Linked DNA regions of Oryzias latipes. The protein of the gene in region 2 purifies or fractionates together with the protein of the main gene of each other region. This does not show direct contact. Links are inferred from orthologs where the notes say so. Each region holds a gene or a part of one and is shown on either strand. Other genes may lie near its edges.

Evidence for each region. Proteins that work in one complex are often made in the same cells at the same time.
Region 1: the proteins of cttnbp2 (region 2) and stk26 purify together in Homo sapiens (affinity purification with mass spectrometry; 4 studies listed by BioGRID and IntAct, with this or other methods). This does not show direct contact. The link is inferred for Oryzias latipes from reciprocal best matches to the Homo sapiens genes CTTNBP2 and STK26.

Annotation. Positions count from the first base shown.
Region 1 is NC_019876.2:4,690,935-4,694,451, forward strand, and holds part of stk26 (serine/threonine-protein kinase 26), read right to left. Parts: intron 1,086-3,517; coding exon 900-1,085; intron 400-899; coding exon 257-399; intron 184-256; coding exon 87-183; intron 1-86. UniProt on the Homo sapiens protein: Serine/threonine-protein kinase that acts as a mediator of cell growth. Modulates apoptosis. In association with STK24 negatively regulates Golgi reorientation in polarized cell migration upon RHO activation.
Region 2 is NC_019864.2:3,451,366-3,455,410, forward strand, and holds the start of cttnbp2 (cortactin-binding protein 2), read right to left. Parts: upstream 2,807-4,045; 5' UTR 2,602-2,806; coding exon 2,473-2,601; intron 1-2,472. UniProt on the Homo sapiens protein: Regulates the dendritic spine distribution of CTTN/cortactin in hippocampal neurons, and thus controls dendritic spinogenesis and dendritic spine maintenance.

The sequences.
Region 1 (3,517 bases), on a different chromosome or scaffold from region 2:
AGAACATTTCTGCTTCAACCCGAATGCCCTAAAACCATCGGAGGATCAGGATGAAGGTTCCCGAGGAACCAGATACTGCGACTAACCGTCCCGTTGAGGACCATCCTGCCTTCTGTCTTCTTCTTCCGGACGGTGGTGAAGGACCACTCAGGATGCATGTCGTTTTCTTTGTTGCTGGACTCACTGCTCACACAAACAAACAGTTGTAGGCGCTGAACCGACATGCAGCAGCAGCAGAAGAAAGCCCTGAAGTCACCTGTCTGAGTCGTCGGAGCTGCTGCCGCTGTGACCTTCCTCCTTCCACCTCCTGTACCTGTCGATCAGCTCGCTCAGGTAAGACGTCTTTTTACAGTGCTTGGTGATGAACTTGTGCTTCAGCAGCTCTTTGGCGGTCGGCCGCTGCAGGACCGTAGAGTGAAGCCAAAGGAGGGGAATTAAAAAAAAAAAAAAAAAGAGGAAATGAGATTTTTTCAAAGTAAGAGGCAAAAAAATATAAAATGATTAAATGTTTGGCCTCAGGTTTATTGATCAAATTAAGGAGATTTAATAATTTCTTCCACTAGGTGGCAGCAAAACACAACAAAACTTTCATGGAGCGGCCTTACGTTTACAGGAGTGCAAAGTAACTAAAAATAAAGTTTCAAAATGTTCCATTTGGTACCAAAGCTCCACATGAAACAAAACTATTTCTGTTTTTTCTTTAATAATAAATGATTAAGTTGTTCTTATAGTTACTTTAAAAACTTCAAAACACCTAAAAATCTTTTTTATCACAACAAAAAGCTGGATATGACTTTAGAAGACGTACAGATATAAATTTGTATCAAGACAAAAGCACGATTTGACCTCCTTAGGATGGAAAAATCATCTATTTGATTGAAAGTAACTTGGATGCGTACAAAGGCCGGGTCTTTGTTGAGGCACGCCTCGGTGAACTCTTTGAAGCTCTTGGAGAAGTCTCCGCTCAGCGTGGGAGGAGGAGACTTGGGGATGTGGAAGAGGACGCGCATGGGATGCATGTCTGAGTTTGGCGGTTCCCCTTTGGCGAGCTCGATGGCCGTGATGCCCAAAGACCAAATGTCTGCCTGTAGAGACACACAGGAGCAGAAAACATCATCATCAGTTTGAAAACCGACCATTCGCTGACGATGCGACTTTAAATGTGTGTTGATCAGACATGAGTCTGTCAGTCAGTCAGATTATATTGGATCAGATTTTTAAAAATGGCAAGACCTGTATGGATTTTAAACATTTTTAACTAGCTATTTATACGCCAAAATGTAGTTCAGTGTCCGACTTTTCCACTTACACCCCCAATCAAGAGATGGCAGCTCAGCACACCAAGACTCTTTCAGCAGCTCAGCACCAGAACCATCTCATGCTAGCATGCTAGCCTAGCGAACATATCGGGTTGTCGGAATTGAATTTTTTGTTTTTAAACTTTACTAAAAAGTTTGGGAGATAGCGTAGTCACAATTATGTTTTAGCGGTATCCATCGTTTTTTATGCATTGCAAACAAGGTTAGGAGTTACAGATATTGTGAACCTGCTAACTCTATGCTATGCTTTTTTAAAAGTGTTTTTATACAAGGTTTGGGGTTAGCGTGGTCACAGTTTGTTTCGGCCTTAGACTGTTACGAACAACTAGCATAGTCAGAGAAACAAACTTTATTTTAGAAGTATTGTTTCTTACGTGTTGCAAATGAGGTTAGGAGTTACAGGCCTTGTGACTACGCTAACGCTTCTGACGCAGCCAACCCGTAGCAGTTTTGGACCGCGTGTTACTAACAAAGTTAGGGGGTTAGCGTAGTCACAGTAGTGCTGTGACGGTGTGGGATTTTTTACCACCGCTGTGATGAAGCAGCAAGAGTCATGGTGTCAGGACCCCCATAATATGTATAATGGGCTGCCCCGCCCTCCCTTGCAGTGGAGGATGAAGACTTTTTCTACACACAGGACTAGCAGAAAAAGTAAATTATCAGCAAAGATGAATGTGTTTAATGTGTTTATTATAGTTCAAATCACGCGCCATATGCAGAACTTTCAAATTAAAAAAACGTGCAGTGATGCGGTTATCGTCACAGCCCTAAGTCACAGTAACGTTTATTTTAGCAGATTCTCCTAACGAGCTTAGAAGTTACAGTCGTTGTGAATACCCTGACCCAGCTAGCGCTTCTAACCTGGCTACGTGTTTGTTATACCTGTAGCGTGTTACAAACATGTTCTAGAGTTCCTGTAAACATCAGTCTGACTGACTGGCAGATTCATGCCTGACTCTGGTCTCGGTTAATGTGCCGTATAGTCCAATGTGCCGTATGTTTGAAAACAGACCATTCGTTGACGATGCGCCTTTAAATCCGTGTTGATCAAATATTTCATAAATGATTCCAAGAAAAGCAGGAAATCCCCAGAGTCTTGCCAACACACAACCCTAGAGGAAGCAACTCTGAAAAGGTTTCATCAACGCCTAAGAGTCCAGAACAATGAGTCTTCTCAACTCTGACAGTTGTGTAGCGGTGGCACCCTTCACAAACCCTCACCACACACACCGACAGACACACACACCCACACACACACAGACAGACAGTATGGTGCTGAGTCACAGGACGCTCGGTTACTGCTAGAACGTCAACTCTGCAGATCCATTACAGTTACACACCGACCATATGGCAGCATGTGGCTACACACAAACGCACCGCTTGTCTTTTGAACGCGATGAATGAAAATAATGTGTATTTAATCATCCTTTGCTTAGAACAGGAGATCAGAATCAACTTAACGTATAAAAACAAAGATTTGGAAAGAAAGAAAGAAAGAAATGATATTGACCACTTTAAATAACGTCACACTCATAGCTTTTTCTGTCAACTTCCTGGTTAACTTCAGCAGTAAACAAAACAAACGTAAATGTTTTGGATCGTTTAACAAAAAAAAAAACGGAAAATGTTTTTCCATCCTCAAACTTTTACCGACTGGAGTTCAAGTGGGTCGATGCTAAGAAGAAAGTAAATGAAGACGCAGCAACACCTCAATAAAAAGGCAACAAGTAGGAAACATCGACTGTCCTTTCATCTAAACTACAACAGTCTTTCCAACAGACCTGTTTTATAAGCTGACTTTCTATTTTTAGAAGAAAAACCAAAAAACTCCAACATTTTAGATTTTGCAGACACGTTCATGCTAGCAGAAAGTCTCATTAGAAATATTTTTCATTTTGTATTTTTTAATTGTTGACTATGATTAACCAAAATCCGTTTTTCAGAACCTATGTCAGTAAACTGAACTGTAGTCTTTTTTTTTTTTATTTACGAAAAAAACTCGATAGTTTTACTTTGAAAAATGAGGACGTTCACTGACACTTTACTTTGGAAATCCATCAACTTCCGGTGACAGTAGCGCATTTCGTTTGTTTACTTTATATACTTAATATAAAACATTCTGCTGCAATTTTTCTGAAGTACATTACTTTTTTTTACCACACCCCACTATGTGTAAAAATATTCACGACTCAGCGATC
Region 2 (4,045 bases):
TAACTCGCCACAGGAATGAACTAGAAACTTGCTTTCTTTTTTAAACATCCTTATGATTTTTACTCTTCATGTGTGGGCCGGACTTAACCACCTCGGGCCGGATGCGGCCCGCATGTTTGACACCCCTGCCTCAAACCATTAGTTAAATTGCCTGCCTTTCTTCTCAACCAATCACAATCCTATTTTTGCTTTTAAATTCATGAATGGTCGTCTCTCTGCATTCTAGACGGTCCGCTGGCCCTCCACCTAAACAATGCTTTGTAATGGACTGGCCCCCAACCACCAGCAGTGTCTCTGGGGTTTATTAAGCTCTGGTACAATTCATTCTAAAAACACAAGACATCAATGGCCCAAAGATTATGAACTTCTTTCCATGAACATTTTTCTGTGGCACAAAAAAATGTTTACTCGCCATCCTAAAATATCTCTGTATTGAAATACAGGTGCATCAGGTTCTCCAGGGGCTTTTTTAAAGTCATTAGGACAGTCTTGGAACATTCAATTAGATTGGGATGAAAAGTGATCCACCTTCATAATGTTTGGTCTGTTTTCATACTGCACTCTCTGGAGCTAAACAAGGACTACAGAAAAGTGTAAAAGACGGTCACATCTACTGCTCAGTAGGGGGCAGTATTACCTGAGACACACAAGCAGAAGAAAAGCACAGAGAAGACTATGGACTGCTTTCTTTGATCTTGCCCCTACACTTCTGTCCGACACTGACTAATGCCCTAGTCATAACTGCCCTTACAGTCTGTCTGCGGGTGAGAAATGGGCTAACCTGTACAGAGCACGGAGATAACCCAAACGAAATAGCAACATCTGAGCAAAAATATTCATCCACGTTTCTTTCTGCAACGATGCTACGGGCGACAGGTCATAGTAAACACTTAGACAACACACAAGGGAAAGGAAGGGTGAAGTAGGTAAGATGCAGGTGTCTCAGAAGGATTTTTCATTTTTTCAAACCCTGAGCACTGCGGCATTTGCGCACGGTTAGTATAAGGTCCAGTGCGCACCTTACAAATGACTACTTAACAAACACGACCATAGTATGTAACATTTTCATGATACCACCTGGAAGTGGCCACACAACTGAACTGAAAGGAACATCTGCATTCTGCTTAATAATAATAATAATGGATTAGATTTTTCTGCGCTTTTCCAGACGCTCAAAGCGCTTAAGATGCGGCCAGTTTTCTGTACGACCCTCCAAAGGCCCGAACATCCCAAAAACCCACAAAACCCTGTACATGTGACAAAGGCCTTACATAGACCTTCTTTGATTGATTACTGCTCTTTGGGTCTGCTGTAACTGTCTTCTGCACTGAACCACACCGGCGTTTAGAAGCAGGAGAACAGAGATCACCCGTTTCAGCTAACAGGAGTAAACTTGCTTGGTCTGTACCAGAGTTCAGAAGAGCTTTAACGCATCCAAGAACTATCAGGATACAAAGTATGGTGTGAAAGTACCATCAAAATATTGCTTTTATAATTCCATCACGGATTTTAAAAATGGTAAGGCTTATTTCAGGCAGGTGGCTGTGTAGCAGCGGTAGAGCAGCTGACTTCTGATTGGAATACTGCAGGTTCGATTCCAGCCTTGCCATCTATGTGTGAATGGGACTGTGACTGTAAAGCCCTTTGGGCCTTTGAAGAAGTTTGTAAAGGGCTATACAAGTATACGCCAATTACCATTTATTTCTCACAATAAAAAAAAAATCAAACTGGAAATCAGTTGATTATTTTTCCTTCAGGACTACTAAATAAACAAAATGAAAGTATAAGCAGTTCTGAACAATGCTTAGCAATAAAGATAACTATTACCAAGTGGAATATATGCTATTTATGTCTGGTATTACTGGTAAAGATATAAACTTTTAAAGAATCCCAGTTTGTGTTACACTAAAGATGGATGCTTATGGATCGACCATGAACACATCTGATGGAGTGACTCATTGGTTTTTGAGCTGCTAAAGCAGAAGGCTGCAGGACTCCTCACTAAGGCAACAGTTTGTACTCAAAGGCGTGAAGCCTCAGCCAAGACCACCAAAGCAAACCTGAGAAATGATCCTCCCCAAACGATGAAGATCAACCACAACTAAACCCTCGCCTCAGGTCAGACCAAACTCCACCTCTAGAAGCCAGGCTGCCTGCAGGACGTTCAGATAATGGATGGAGTCTTTCCACCTCGTGGACTGCCTCCCTTTCGGCGTGTTTCTTTGAACCCTCCTGAACTCCTCCTCATCCTCGCGCTCTGCTCCGCGCGGCGTTCCTGCGCGTCCCGCCGCTGCACGAGAGCGAAAACAGCGGATGAAAGGACCCGACGGCGGCGGCATCGAACCCTCTCCGGCCTGGCTGGGATCTCTGGATCCAGTCAGCAGCGCGGCGCTGGTTGTTTCTGCAGAAAAAAACGCTCCCACACCGAACCGAACCGAACCAAACATGCCCGCCGCTCGGGTCGTGTCTTACCGCGTCCAGGCTTCCCGGCACGGCGGCTGCCAGTGTTTGCACCGGGGGAGGCTGCTCTCCACCGACTCCCTCCGACGCCATCTTCGTGCTGAAGCGCTGTGCCGGAGTGACGGCGCATTCGACACTCATGGACGGCTGCGCCACCGACAGCAGAGCCCGTCCAGGACGGACGGCCGACAGAAAGACACGACGCGGGGCCTGATGGGAGCAGATCTCCGGGAAAGGAGCAGCAGCTGCGGGGGAGGGGGGGAGCCGCTGTGGGCGTGAACCGGAGGAACATCCAGATGTGAGAGCCTGGAGCCCACTCACGCGCAGGGATGTGCCTCAGCGCCCTCCTCCCTCCGGATGATTGACAGGAGCATCTGCCTGTCTGAGGAGCCGTGGGGGCGGGGAAGTGGGGGGGGGGGGGGGGGGGGGCTGGTCAACGGCGGCGTCTGCGCCCCCCCCTCCCGCGCGTAAAGAGATGACCTTAAATGAAAACAAACATTGTTTTCAGCAGCTTCACATTTACAGCCAATGATCTGGGGAAAGTTTGGAGTTTCACTGCACCAGCTCTGATTTCAATAGAATAGAATAGAATAGAATTAGAATAGAATAGAATAGAATAGAATTCTTATTATAGACTCTAGGTCCAAATGTCAACAACATTAAAACCTAAAAACATATAGAAAGCATCATAAAACTAAATAAAAGGAATACACAAATCATAAATCCGTGTTTAATTCTACATTACATACTCAGAACAACAGACATGCCAAAAGAACATTGAGTTAAAAAGACTTCCACATTCTTTATACCATGGTCCAGGTCACATGTGTCCAACTCAGGCCCGAGGGTCAAATTTGGCCCGCAGTGTAATTATAATTGGCCCGTGAGATCATATCAAACGTACATTGGAGCTGGCACGCGGTATATTCTGTACCGTTAATACTACACATCCCACAATGCTTTGCTAGTATGTTGGCATGACTGTTGACAGTCATTGACAGCCGCGCTCCAGTCACATCAGACAAATTAATTTCACCCTCCACAAAAATGGCCAAACAAAAGATGGACAACAGGAGCTTTCAAGACATTGCTGCTAAAATACGAAGGTTTTCCTCGGCTCAGAGTCTAACCCCAGACATTAATTAACTTGCATCTAAGAAAAGATGCCAGGCATCTGGCTTAGACCAATGTGCAGAGAAAATCATAGTGTAGCAAACTGAGCTTGATTATATCTGTTTCTTATGCCCTTTTTCTACTGAAAGGCATGGTGGTCTGTTAATACGGTAGTTGAAATGCTGGATTTTACTGGATGACATTATTTTTGGTTCTTTTGTTGTTGACATTGCAAAAGGTTTACTTTAAAAAAGAACTTGAAAGGATACGGGGAGAGACATGCCTTATTTATTTATTATATTATATATTATATATTATAGTATTTAAAGAATACCACCGATGTGTCTTTTATTTCAAATTATTTTTTTTCATGTGTTTGTAATATCAAGATTTGGTTTTTACAGAATCTGCGTTTAAGCATAACTTAAGTTTGTTACCATACAAAAAGGCTAAACATTACATCTCAGTTTCA